3 linked regions of the Danio rerio genome follow. The protein of the gene in region 2 purifies or fractionates together with the protein of the main gene of each other region. This does not show direct contact. Links are inferred from orthologs where the notes say so. Each region holds a gene or a part of one and is shown on either strand. Other genes may lie near its edges.

Region 1 (4,932 bases), on a different chromosome or scaffold from region 2:
ACATTTAATTTTAGCTCGTGAGTGTGCAAGTAATGTAACTTGACTAATGACTTTTGTCAACAACAGCAGCAGTGGTCACGTTTATTTTTAAAGCATGTGATTGTAAATAGTTATTTTATTCATTTATTTATTTAGTTTTTTATTGGTCTGTTTATTATAAATACAAATTATCTTTAGGGTACAATTATGGACCTTGAAATAAAAACTGTTTATTACAGCCAATAACAGCTAATAATACACTACTTATAATACATGAATTTATATATATATATACAGCGGAATGAACCACCAACTTCTCTAGCCACAACCCATCACTGAAAAACACACACCCTCATTCACTATGGTTAATTTTAGCATACCATTTCACCTGTACAGCATGCCTTTGGACTGTGGGGGAAGCCGGAGCACCCAGAGCAAACGCAACATGAAGAGAACATGCAAACTCCGCACAGAAATGCCATCTGACCCAGCTGAAGCTCGAACCAGCAAACTTCTTGCTGTGGGGTGAACGTGCAACCCACTGCGCCACCCAGTGACTTCTCAACAACAACCAAATATAAGTAACTTGGGAAAACAAATATAATTTTTTTCCTCTGAATGCATTTCTGTTTTTAGTGAATCTAAACTTATATTTAAATACATTTAATTTAAATAAATATCTAAAGAAAAAAAACATTAATTAAATAGTAATTATTGCTCACAAGTGACTTAGAATTAAGATATTTGATCAAGTTTTTTTTAATTATAAGCATTAAAACATAACACTATGTATTAATAAAAATTCAGACACAAACTATATCCAAGACCATTACAATAAGTGCAAAAAGCCACATCCAGAAATAATATTAAAACAAAAACATAACAAGTAAAAATATTAAATTAAATATAACTAGTAATAAAAAAAAAAGATTGGCACACAATCAGACTACAGTGAGGGATCAGTACCAGAAAAAAAAACTTCATGAAATCTAACATCAAGTCATTTTTTTGTTATTAATTTGCATTAGAAACTTTTTCAAAGTTTCCATTTCTAATAAAAATTAATAGCATTTTGGTATACACTTCGCAAACTTCTGTTTATGAATAAAATATTAACCTTGTAGCATGTAAAAATTAACAACATACCAACATACTCTAATGAGTGTGTGTGTGTGTGTGTGTGTGTGTGTGTGCGTGCGTGCGTGCGTGCGTGCGTGTGTGTGTGTGTAAAGAGCAAATACAATCTTTTAACATGTATTTGCCCAAATAACACGTCACTAACATCATACTAAAATGTAAGAGACATCACAGTTATAGAAAAGATGTGATAAGTGTGCAAGTATTGTCAACATTCATGTATTTAGATAAGATAAAAAGAGATTAATTGATTTATTTATTATTTTATTTATTATTTTTTTATTATTATTAAACAGCAGCAAATATACAATTTAAACATGACATCCAAAACTACAAATGTAACCTATAACATAAAATAAACTAAAATATAAATTACATAAGTTAAATAAATAAAAAGACTGTAAAGATATTATGTCATGTAATGCGCTTTGGGATCATGTAATGACGTAAAGAACCGTCGGAACATGTTGAACTGTTCCATTCAGAGCTGCTGTTCAAATGAACCATTTGATGAAATGACTCTGATTTTTTCACTACCGTTCGTTTGACAGGCTGCAGACGGCGCTGTTAGTCGAATATCAGTTGTGACCATCGAGATGCCTGATTAAAGTGCGATCGTAAAACCTATTATTAAGTCAAATAATAAACTAAAATAGACTGTTTAAATGTACGTACTTTTTGTTCCAAGTGCAGATAGTTTCTACATTTTTAGTTTGAATTTTACTGTCTGCTCACTTCCGCAAATTTAGTCAAAACTAAGATGGTCAAGCGGACCGGGGTCCTAAATTGGGTCCTCGAGAATAGTAAACACTAACGTTACTGGTTAGCAAGCTGGAACAAGCTATAAATTAACAGTGACTGCGGTTTAAGGTTAATTAGATCATGGAAGACAGTGAACTGGAAAGGTATGATATTTCTAAATGTCAATTTTCCCCCTTTTGACCAGTTTATTGGACTAGTTTACGATGCAGAATATGCTAACGCCCTCGGCTTCGTGCAAATTGGTCAGTAAATTTGTGTAAACCAAAACCTGAGACGAAGCACCATACTTTTGTTATATAGCAAACATTTCGGTATCCTAGAAAAGTCTATTTTGCACCGTCAGAGATTTAAACGTGCTATTTAATTTGGGGTCACGGTAATACATAAATTAACCCGTTTCTGTCGTCAAATGTCTCACTGTAAATAATTTCCCCAGAAAAGCAGTGGAGGAGCTCCTTAAAGAAGCGAACAGAGCAAAAGCCCGTGTCGAGACAATGGGTCCTGCTGGATGGTAAGTTTGGATCACTAAATTGATAAATTACAGATATTTAAAGTGACCAATTTGAAGTCTTTTTCTATTATTAGTAACCACTATTGCCCCCACTCTTTTACACACACGCGCACACACACAAGGGTGTAACTTTGGTTTTCGGATGTGAACTTAAACCTGTGTATGTATATATACAGTACTGAGTACACCCCTTAAAGATCTGTATTTTAAATTAATATGTAGTATAAAATGCTTTACAGTAATGCATTTTGCACAAACTCTTTAGATTTTAAGGTACAAAAGCCAAAACTGTGACTAATCAAATATGCTTTTCACAATAATCAATATATCGACTTATCGCACAACACATTGACATGACATCTATCATTTTTGGTGATGTAATATATATTGCCCATATATAAAAGTCAATTCTAGCAACATTTTAGCTGATGGTGCAACCTCTTTATGTTACTGTAGTATATTTTCATGCAGGTGTCTGACAACTGAAAATAGATCTGGTAGCAGATCTTGCAGCCTCTGTTACTTTTTACATTGCACTTTTTACTACTATTTATTCAGGATATGTGTTTTCACATGCTGATTCCCCTGCCTCATTATTAAAGTTAAAATGACTATAAATTAAATGAAACATCCTTAAGAATAAAATATTATGTGGTCTTTAGAAGAGTGTACTTGCATTTTGATGTTATTATATTGTCATTTTGGCATTATATAATAAGTGGCATAAAATGGTCTCAAAATGACAATATTGTTCATCATAATATATGTTGGTGCAATATATCATACAAGAAAAAATAGATATTATGACAAGCTTATAATTAAAAAAAACTATTTAAGATCACAGTGCAAAAATCAGTACACCTTAATTAATATACTGGGGGAAAATATTAAATAATATATTAATAAACGGGAAAAATACTTTTTTTTTTTTTTTTTTGCAAAAACTTGTTTGATTGTAAGTGTATTATTTTCTATCCTCGAAGGTGTTAAATGACTGAACCATATAACTGTTCTGTTTAAATAAACCAAAGATGATTGGCTGTATTCATTGGAAAATGGCTAGAAGAAATATTTATTTTTAATTGGGTGTAATCGTTTTTACTGGTGTTTTTACGGGAGAATCTTGTGGGAGTGCGGTAACAAAAGTGTCAAATGACTAATAATTGTAGAACATTTGAGCTGGCTTCAGTCCTTAGTTCTTTCATTTTCCTTTTCATTTTATTAAAATATATGTATTTAACTTGTTTGTTAATTAAATACAGTTCTGTCATTTAACCTATTATTTTTATGCAACAGTCAAGTTGCATGCTAATTTGCTCTGTGAAGGTTACGCGATTTATGTTTAAAATGTTGGTTATCGTCCTCCAAATCAAAAGATGTATGTACAGTATGTATGTATGTATAGACATTTACATTAGATGTTGCCTACGCTTTTTTCATCTATTGAAAGGAATTTGTCGATAGAGTCGCCATTTTAGTACAGGGTAGCGCTTCTTTAAAATGAATGTGGGTTCAAGGTGCAGCGGAGGACTGGCCATCCATATATACACATATACACATTTATTTACGATCGGGGGGTTTTCCATTGGTCAGTATGCAAATATTTTATGAAATTACAAAAATTATAAGTTTACATCACTTTTCTATATTGATGGATAAATGATTGCATGGGCATTCCTGGCAAAGAGTGTGTGATTGTGTGCATGGAAATGTATTATCTACCCTCCCTGTTTAATTTGATCTAATTCATGTCCTTAAACACACCCCCTCTCCTGCTTTCACTTTTCATTCCAACGGAGGGAGGGATTCGTTTGTGAATGAATCTCTGTTAAGAAGGACTTGATCACTTAGTTGACAATAATACAAGTTTTCACAGCAGCACCTTCTTGTTATATTTCATTTACATTGTTATCTCATTTTATTCAACAAAACTAGCATAAGTCTAGAATTGAGTGCCAGTTTGTAACATACAAAAACATAAAAAACGAAATCTTACCTATGAAATGTTCTGCCTTTGTGCTTGGTTTTCTTTGTTTGCTTGTTACTACACCCGTAAGCAGTGCTAAAGTCCAGCATCTTCACATTGGCTTTAGTCTTGATTAGTGCAGTTGAATGATGTCCTGGGAGCACTGTACAAATGTGGCGGCGCAATTGACGCATGCTCAGGAACCATATGCGATAGTGTATATATCTATGGAATGTATGTATGTATGTATGTATGTATGTATGTGTGTAATTAACTACTATATATGTCTCCTAAAGCTGCTTAAATTGCCGTTTTGTTTTAGGATGAAATGTCCACTGGGAAGCACAAACAAGCGCTTTCTCCTCAACACTCTTCGTTCCTCTGCCCTGACGCGCCAACCAACAAATCCACGCACATCTGAAAGAGGAGGAGATGAACATAGGTACAACAGAGCTTGTGAAAAACATCGTAACACAGACTGTGAAAAATGCAAACACAAAAAAGACAGCTCACACAGAAGACACTACTCTGATTCCCATTCTCACACTTCAAAACGCCACTCTTCCTCACGCAGTCA
Region 2 (4,912 bases):
ATCTCTCTTATATTGATCTCCTGATTGTGGTTGTATATTTTCATTCTTAAATAACTAAAAAAAAAAAAAAAAAAAAAAAACAAGGGCAAAGAGGCAGAGCGTGAGCGGAGTTACAGACACCAGCTAGCATTTTCCTTCAACCCTTGGCTTACACCTTCATAACCTGCGACTTGTTTGCGTTCTGACCACATGTGCTTGGTTGTATATATCAATAAAGTGTTTAGACTTTTAAAACACTGTTTTAATACACTGAGCCACTAAACATGTTCTTATGACGTTTTTCTACAGAAGGGAAAACACAAATTATATCCAAACACTTCAAATATAGTTTGAATTACTAAACGCAAGGCTGGTTATGAAATCCAGGCATAACACTATGACAGGTATGACAACGCTTCAGATGACTGTTAGCCAACAGTTAATCAATCTGTCAGATTCTGGAGTGCATTACAGCTATAATGAATATAATAAATGAACTTAAAAAAACAAATACATTTATAGAGATGGGATATAAATATATAATTTTACTCACCTGGGAAATTAAGGCCACTTTAACAGTTTGTGAGCACAATTAAGTGCACACAGCATGCCATACTATCTGATAATTGTAGGAAATAATTCCAAAAGACAAATGACTGTGTAAAGCCAAAAAAAAACAATAATAAAAATACAATGTATATGCCAAGTTCAGCAGCTAATCAGTCGGAATCAGCTGAGGTGAAGTGACGTGACCAGCAAAAGACACTCAAGTGGCCACTCCCTTAATTATGCAGACTTAATTAAACCTAATAAATGCTAAACGGATGAGTAATAAAAAAATTCAGCCCCTCACAGTTGTCATGAAGAGTAGTATTAGCTATAAGCACCAAAACCATCTATTGTACCAGGCTTTAAACATGTTTTTATCAGCTGTAAAATTGGCCAGTTTAGCATTGCAGTCAGAGAACATGTGGAGTTGCTGGAGCAAGCCCCCAGAGGAGAGTCTATGTATTTTGTATTGGCTTCCCAATGGAGAGCCGGAGGTTGCTGCTTGGTTTTTACAGCGTACATAAGACGCCCTTATTCTGAAGTGTTGTAAAAGCTAAAATATAAGATGGTTTTGGGATATACATAATAATCATATTGCTATTAGCATTATATGTGCATAATATGTGTTATACATGTAGAGCTTTGCATGGTCAAGCACCCCAATATATTCAAGATCTATGGAACTCTCTCCCTATAGCACTGAGAACTCTGGGATCAGTTGATCTTTTTAAAAAGCATTTAAAGACGCATTGTTTTGGTCAAGCATTTAATTCATAGTATTAGTGTTTCTGTATTTGGATTTTTTACTTGTTTTAATGTGTTTTAACATGTTTTCTTTTATTGATATGTGTTCTTTTACTTGTTTTCTCTAATTGTAAAGCTATTTGTTACTCAACGTCTAGGAAAGGTGCTACATAAATAAATATTTTCTTGCTTACTTACTTTTACTTTTTAAAGATTATACCTCACACATTTTGAAGGAGTTTTCTCAACACCAGCCCGCCACTAAAACAAAAGAAGAAGAAAGTTTTCGTATGTTGCTCATTTCGCTTCACGGAACGTTTCCTATAACCTTGTTTTCACCCGAGCGTGTTAGAAAGACGCAACACGGAAGTCTATCTGTTATAAGCCGCGCAAGAGGAACGTGTGTAGCGTGCGAGATTGTTTTGGTAATGTTTTCTAATTTGCTCGCTTCTTTAGTCAAAATGAGAGGGTGTAATATTTGGGGTTTAGTTTTGAGTTCGCATATAAGGAAATAATCTCGAGCTGAACCGCACTGTCACGTATTCAGTGTTACTGTATGTTGCTGTAGACTGCTTCAGTGTTACATTCTTGTGTACATTTATAGCTCAACATCTATTAAGTTACTGAGTTTTGTGTTACTTGTATTCGTTATTACGCAGTCTGAATTGCACAAACTTGTGTGTTATTAAATAAACCTCTACATTTTTTTTTCAATTCAGGCAACTCGTCCTTCATCATGATCATCCCTGTTCGCTGCTTCACTTGTGGGAAAATTGTTGGGAACAAATGGGAGGCGTATTTGGGTCTCCTTCAAGCGGAGTATACAGAAGGGTACGTTTATGAAACTAAAATGTGTCCTAAATTCGTTTGTTTATTTATTTATTTATTTGTTTGTTTGGCTAAGGAGTAAAGCACTCCTTACTAGTCCTCTTTACTAACTTTAGTCAAAATATTGTGTTTGGGGTGCTCATGCGGACCGGTTGACTGGCAGCACGAATTTTGCCAGATTAATATGATTAATGTTATTATACAGATTACTATTATTATTAACAAAATAAAGCCAGCATTGGCCTTACATACAAGCATCAAACCAAACTGAATTTAAACAGATTTATTAAAAACCTGAAAAACGACTCTAAGTTAAAGATTAATTGTGATTAGCCACATCCAAAATAAAAGTTTGTTTTGACATAAGCAATACTTGTGCATTATATATATTTATATAATTATTGTGTATGTGAAATACACTCATGCATAAAGGTATAGATTTTGCATAGATATTTAAAATTTATTATTTGCATCATATATATTTTATATGTAAATATAAATAATTATTTCCTTAAATGTATGCATCTTTATGTTTATATGTCCATAATAAGCATACACAATACACACACGTATTATGTAAAAAAAAAAAAAACATTTTTTTATGCGATTAATCACGATTAATTTTCCCCCAGCACTATGTGAAATACATCTTATAATTGAAAAACACCTGCAGCTAAAACAAACATTTTTAAGGAAATCTTTTATACATCAGCTATGACTATATTGAACAAATGACCATGAAGTAGTTTATATGTTGTTCTGTGACACTGTGAATCTGTTTGTGGTTTTAGAAACAGGGTTGTGTGTTGGTAATCCATGGTGTAGGAAGCCATATGATGTTTAGTAACATTTTGTGAGGCCAAATATGAATTTCCACATGTGTGGACAATAAAGACTGCTCATCTTTCTAATTAGAATTCTAATCTTTGGTCATACAGGCACATAGAAAAGCACCTTGTTATTTAAGTAATTCCCACAGCACTAAATTTCATTTAAAAAAAAAGTGCTGCTAGTTAATTATTATGGCTCAGATCATTATTTTGTCTGATTTTTTTCTTTTGTGGCAAGTTGCCATGTTATAAGTAAGATAATGTACTTACAATTGGCTATGCAAAAAAGCCATTCAGTCTTATAGGGCCATGAAACCTCCTTGTTTCAGAGGGTGTTTTCACACCTCTACTTTGGAAAAAGTCAGGAAAGTGGGCGTGTCCAGCTCTGTTTAGGAGGGAGTGTCGGAGGAGCAAATTAAAGAGGGTTCTGTAAAAATTTGCATAAAAATGGGAGTGTCATTTTGGGCACGTGCTGATTTTCAGAGTCAAAACACACACACACACACACACACAGGGGAGAAAGACTGACTGTGTTTACGTGGACATCAGTAATCAAATTATTTGACAAATTATTAAATGGTGGACATTAACTGCAGTTTGGCTCTTTTATTCAGGGAATATCTTCATGCCCCTCGTGACAAACGAGGTATTTGATTTGAGGAACTGCTCTAAGCTTGTATCTTTCATGCAATGTTTGATACGGCACAGCAAATGAGGGAAAAAAAACCTCTGAATTTCTCAATAACTTAGATGCACTCGGCAGGTAGGGTCAGAAAGTCGTGTGTGTTACTCCTGTCACAAAATGCAGTGAAAATCCTACACGATGGTAAGTTTGATTGTGGTGCTAACATGTTCACACTCCGTGTAACAGTTAGTTCGATACAAACTAACTTTGCCATCTGAAAAAGCAAAGGGCACTGTTCGCTCCCTTATCAAATCTGTAGAGACAGGACAAACAACACCAACTAGAGCCGCGTCTTTATTAAGAGGAGACGAGCGGCAAATCCGGATCTCACCATTTCCAGATGAGAAAAGTTCTCGGGTAAAAAAAAAAAAAAGTTCCTTAGACATGCATTGTTGTCGCATGCACTGTAATCCACACGTGGTCCAGCTGTGCGCTCATACAGAGAAAATGAAAACAAAACCTTCACTGCAGCAAATTATAAAAGCAACCCTTCACGCTTGTTTTGCCAACATAATGTGGCGTCTCTGCTGTCTGAACACTGTAACATTAATGAATGTTAGTGAAGTTGCACAATAGAGTGCGCTGATTGGTTTGAACCGAATCTTACTCGTGCATTAATGCAGCACACTTATAGACGTAATAAGACACTCCCAGGTACAGACGTCCAGTCTACACGCTGGAATACACGCTAAGATCTCATGGCCGTGACGCAGCTTAAAAAAATTGTTACAAACCGGAAGTACGAATTAGCTAGAAATAACGCAAAAACAACCAATTTTCACTTTTTAGTGAGATATATGTGTCTTAATAGTGTTTTTAGCAGTGTGGGACACTTATATGACTGTCAACAGCTCAAAAAATGTGTTTTGGTGTTTTGTGACCCTTTAAAAAATAGATTTTGTTTTTCATGAACAACTGGCTAGATGCATATTATCCTTTAAACCTTGTGCTGCAGGAGATGTTTTCATCTGCTTTGGGTGATTTTAAAGCTTAATTACGCCCCAACTTTCTCTGTTTCAGCAAATTGAATTATTTTTGGAGACAAATCTTATTTTGACACGCATTTTGGGAAAATGCTTTGAAAAGTTTTAAGACGTTTAACAATTACACTCTGGGCAAATTGACTACCCTTTCATTATGTTGCTGGCTGTTTTTACCCAATTTACTTCCATTGTAATGACATTTTTATGATTGCAAATTCATGACACCATATAATCATGCATTCTTGATTGTTGGAGGTTTTCCCTATTGGGAAGAGATAATTTTTGCCGATGATCATCAGTTGGCAGCATTAACC
Region 3 (5,039 bases), on a different chromosome or scaffold from region 2:
TTTTCTCTAATTTACTTATTTTCACTGCCATGAAGAGTTCAGATGCAAAAACCTCTAAGTGCCATCTGAAATTTCCTTCTAATATTAGCATTTTTCTCAGGCTCCTATGTCTTGATTAAGTAATTTTAAATTTATGGCAAAGAATAGCTTATTTCCATCGATTATAACATGAAATCACTGAACATAAAGAGAAGAGACTGAGAAAAATGCTCATTGTAAAAGAAAATTCTAGATGGCACTTGGAGATTTTGCATCTGAACTCTTCATATTTTTCTCACGTCTCACCAGCTGACGTGCTTGACACCTCCTTCTCGCTGTTGCTTCAGCTCCATATATCTGCGAATGGCTTTCTTGAGATCCAGAACAGTTGCAGACTGCACAACCACAATAGCTGTGGAGAGATGGGCTCCAGTCAGAATCAATTAATAAATAACAACCATTTAAAAAAAAAACATGTCAAGAAACATATGCTGTTTCCCAGATCAAGATCTCATGGGTCACTGGGAATCTGGCAAAGACATATTAAATAAGAAAACTTACGCATGACTTCTCCATCCGCCTTACAAACCCGAACAGTCATAGCCTGGCCATATTCCAGAGCCACCTGAGAGTTTACCTCCTCCAGTGTGACCTGAAAAATTCAAAGGTTCAGAAATATAGGATTAATAATTAATGCATTCAAATAAACAGTTTATTTAGGACTGGTAAATTAAATGGTTGGTTCATGAAATCTGAGAGTTCCCTCATTCTCCCTAGACAGCAATGGTTTCCAATTTGTTCAAAGTCCTGAACAATACAAATTAATCATCATCAAAACAGATCATATGCCTACAGTGGCTCAATCAGAATATTATCAAGCTACGAGAATACATCTGTGTGCACATAAAACAAAAATAACTACTTTACTCAACAGTTTCTTCTCCTCAGTGTATTGCATGTGTTCACGAGTGGTGTGCACTTATGTACTGACTATGACTTCCTTAGTTTGAAACAATTCACAGACACATTTGAGGTAATAAGCAAGTCAGAGGTGCAACCAAACGCGGCACATAAATGTGAGCATTATACTGACACAGAGGAGAAGAAACTGTTGAAAAAAAATCTGTAGAATATAGAAGATTTTAAGCTGGAACTATTACCCTCTAGTATTTACAACTACATTATCAGCTATTCACAACCTGGACAAACAGCTCTGAGGAAGATTTTAAATATATTAAACTCAAAGTGATGGCGCTTCTTGACCACCATTATATAGATAACGTACATAGGAAAACATAGTTCTCAACTTAAAAAAAAAACGTATTTTCTGTTCTACTTAAGAACAGAATCTTGGGATGTCAATTAACCGAACATTTTAATATCTGGGTGAATTGTCCGTTTAAAACAGCCCCTTGACTGCATGTACACCTGAATGGGCAGGTCACACAGAAGCGGGTCCTGCACTATGAGAGCCAGCCCTTCTTCAAAGATGTCCAGAATTTCTGAGTGTGGAAGAGCCTCCTCGTCTTCTTCCTCTTCGTGCTCCTCTTTTATTTCATCTTCCACAGTTTTCTCCTCTAACTCTTTTTTGAGCTCGGTTTCGTCCTTTATTTCGTCCATTTTATCTTCAAACGTCTTGTTTTGAGGGTATAGAAATCCAAGACTTATAAAAAAGTCACTAAGCGTTAATAGTTAACATAACTACAATTTCGTAAAAAAACTGTACGCCTTTTGCAGAAGCTTATTGTATTAAAAATTGTAACTTTAACAATTTGAGCCGTTCCAGCATTTCTTTTTACATTTCATTTTTATAAACACGCTGTCGGAATATTTCAGTGATGCACCCGACTTTAGTTCCGCATAGGTTTTTTATGATTCACATTCTTTATTACAATAACAATCTTCTATTAAAATATTTTTTAATCAGCATTAATATATTCGTTGACATTTTCATATATATTTAAGTTTAATATATACAACAGAAACAGTGTTCATCCTTGTCTATATTTCGTTTTATGGCGAGCCAATAATACAGAGGCACATTGATTGTCATGTGCTTCCTGTAGCGACTTAGAAAGGACTGTGTGTAAATACCAACTTCAGTTGCATCAGAAAGAAACTATAACTGTATTTACTACGTAACATAATCTATGACTGTTTGAAAATGCTCCTGTTTTGTCCGACATGTGGGAATGTGTTAATCGTGGAAGAAGGACAGCGATGCTTTAGATTCGCGTGTAACACATGTCCATATGTGCACAACATCACGAGGAAGGTAATGCATAACACCGGTTATGGAAATTTGTATCTAATAAGCGTTTGGAACGTTTGATTCGAACGCATTAAAGTTCGACGGAACGCCGACATTTAAAAGTTCGATTCGAATGAAACGAAAGAAATGACTTGATTCGATAATATGAGAACGTGTGAGGAACATCTGATGAGATCAATGTTTCTAACATTACAAATTATATAACAAAAATAGATTTGAGTGAGGGAGTGTTTATGTTCTATCAAACATTGCTTTCAGAGCATGATAAATAACGCTGGGTTACTGAGTAGTTACTTAAATGAAATGGTTAAATGATTATAAGATTGTATTGTACTTTAAAATGCTCTTTATTTCATCACGTTATTATATTTATGTATAAAATTTACAGTTTTAGAATAAATTCTCATTAAAAGATATTTTGAATAATGCTGGCACCCATTTTCTACCATAGTAGGAAATAAGAGTTGATTGAAGTCAATGGATCCCAGCAACATTCTTCAAAATATCTTCTTTTGTTTAACAGAAGATATAAACTTACTCAATGTACTTAATAAACCAAGAACTTCGTTTATATTATCTTGAAAACGTAGGAATTAAAAATATTTTAGAAATTTTTTAGAAATATTGTTATAGCTTCAGGTGGATAAACATCTGGATACTTAAAAGTTTATATTTGATGTCACTTCATAGATACTTATGTATGTGTGTCTTATCATCAAATGTTCATTCATAAATTGCACATACTTCTGAATTAAATCAGCCACAGTGCCACACGCAGGTTAACATTTTACCACCACTCTTTACTTCTCTTGTGTCTATGAACTCCGTAACATTACAAAACTTCCCATCATGCCACCTGTTTCCCGTCTTAAAGACACAGATGCAATTATAGCACATGACAATACTAACTTCAGAATCATAACACAAAACCTGGATAAATAAATCACCTCTATAAACTACTGACATTGTTTTTAAAAGATAGCTCTTAAAAACTCATTTTTGCATCCCCCAAAATGCTGTTGTGCAAACAAATGGCCAAAACACATACAAGTTTTCAATGCTTAGTTGGTCTGTAAATGTAATTGGCTGTTAAGTGAAAAAGTCAATTTCAAACTCTGATTAGAATTCAAAATGACGCTGTTTTAGACACTGGTAACAACTGTATTTATACAGTGACATATTAAAGAAGAGCCACTTGTCATAGTATTTTTGCTATTTATGTCATTGATAGTTTTTTTCAACATTCCGCATATATATTCTTTAAAGTCTGTGTGAAATCCAAATTTACAGTGTTTATTTTACAAGCACACAATGCTATTCTTTAGGTAAATGATAAATCCATGCAAGCTAATTCACCGAAAAAAAAAATCTTTGTTCTGATAATCTTCAAAGTCTGACCATTTGCTCTGGCGTTTGGAGTGGCAGTCCTTCTCTGATGATGTCAGTTTGGCAGATGCATCCACAATATTCCTAACCACGCCCCTCTTACCTTTAGTTGATGAGGGAATGATGTGCAAAAAGAAAGCCCCGCCCCCTACTCAATATGCAGTTTCAGTTTGAGGTCCTTCAACATACTAAAATAAGTCTCAGCAACTTGCAGTAAAATTAAAAACACTTATAAATCACCTTGAACCATCCTTGTTTTTATTAGTATCTAACAATTGAAGCTTGTTTCTATGAGGGTTAGGTTTATGGTCAGGCATAGACAGTATCATTGACCTGATAAAAAAATAGGAAAACAAACCTGTTTATGTGCTTTAACAGGTAAACAACAGAAAGTACCCCAAACTGAAGGAGGTTGATGATGTTCTTGGAGGATCTGCTGCTTGGGAAAATGTGGATTCCACTGCAGGTAAACAAATGAAACTTGAAAAGTAAAGTTTGCTCACAAACTTATGGTGGATTGACTGAGACTAGTCTGAAAGTTTGAAGTAGTTTTAAAGTTTAATTAATTGAAATAGTTTTTAAGAATTTTGAAACAGTCGGCATAGATTGATAACTACATATAGGTCAGCATGTATCTAGTATGGATTGGTATGTTTTAGTATAGATTGGTATATGGTTAGTATGTTTCTAGTGTGGATTAGATTATTATAGTATGTTTCTAGTCTGGATTGGTATATTATTAGTATGTTTGTTAGTATGTTTCTAGTATGGATTTGTGTGTCCTTAGTATGTTTCTAGTGTGGTTTATGTCTCTAGTATAGATTGGTATATTGTTAGTATGTTTTAGTGTGGGTTAGTATATTTTTAGTATGTTTTAGTATGGATTGGTGTGTCCGTTAGTATGTTTCTAGTATAGATTGGTATATTGTTTGTATGTTTCTAGTATGGATTAGTATATTTTTATTATGTTTTATGGTATGAATTGGTGTGGCCTTGGTTTGTTTTTTAATGTGGTTTATTATGTTTCTAGTATGGATTGGTATATTTGGAGTATGTTATGTTTTTCTTCCATGGATTGGTATATTATTACTATGTTTCAAATGTGGATTAATATATTTTTAGTATGTTTGTTAGTATGTATCTAGTATGGATTGGTGTGTCCTTTAGTGTGTTTCTAGTGTGGTTTATGTTTCTTGTATTAATTGGTATATTGTTAGTATGTTTTTAGTATGGATTGGTATATTTGGAGTATGTTTGTTATGTTTCTTCCATGGATTGGTATATTGTTAGTATGTTTCTAGTGTGGATTAGTATATTTTTAGTATGTTATTAGTATGGATTGGTGTGTCTTTACTATGTTTCTAGTGTGGCTTGGTATGTTTTTAGTATAGATTTGTGTGTT

What was found. Proteins that work in one complex are often made in the same cells at the same time.
Region 1: the proteins of polr2l (region 2) and si:ch211-140b10.6 purify together in Homo sapiens (affinity purification with mass spectrometry; 4 studies listed by BioGRID and IntAct, with this or other methods). This does not show direct contact. The link is inferred for Danio rerio from reciprocal best matches to the Homo sapiens genes POLR2L and POLR1D.
Region 3: the proteins of polr2l (region 2) and polr3k purify together in Homo sapiens (affinity purification with mass spectrometry; 3 studies listed by BioGRID and IntAct, with this or other methods). This does not show direct contact. The link is inferred for Danio rerio from reciprocal best matches to the Homo sapiens genes POLR2L and POLR3K.

Annotation. Positions count from the first base shown.
Region 1 is NC_133199.1:25,555,777-25,560,708, forward strand, and holds the start of si:ch211-140b10.6 (protein POLR1D-like), read left to right. Parts: upstream 1-1,911; 5' UTR 1,912-1,998; coding exon 1,999-2,021; intron 2,022-2,314; coding exon 2,315-2,389; intron 2,390-4,677; coding exon 4,678-4,932.
Region 2 is NC_133182.1:13,341,071-13,345,982, reverse strand, and holds the start of polr2l (DNA-directed RNA polymerases I, II, and III subunit RPABC5), read left to right. Parts: upstream 1-1,623; 5' UTR 1,624-1,697; intron 1,698-1,991; 5' UTR 1,992-2,008; coding exon 2,009-2,103; intron 2,104-4,912. UniProt on the Homo sapiens protein: DNA-dependent RNA polymerase catalyzes the transcription of DNA into RNA using the four ribonucleoside triphosphates as substrates.
Region 3 is NC_133178.1:45,546,274-45,551,312, forward strand, and holds the start of polr3k (DNA-directed RNA polymerase III subunit RPC10), read left to right. Parts: upstream 1-2,018; 5' UTR 2,019-2,143; coding exon 2,144-2,254; intron 2,255-4,015; coding exon 4,016-4,103; intron 4,104-5,039. Other genes in the region: snrnp25 (U11/U12 small nuclear ribonucleoprotein 25 kDa protein), read right to left, coding at 286-391, 541-631, 1,408-1,599. UniProt on the Homo sapiens protein: Core component of RNA polymerase III (Pol III) which synthesizes small non-coding RNAs using the four ribonucleoside triphosphates as substrates. Can mediate Pol I proofreading of the nascent RNA transcript.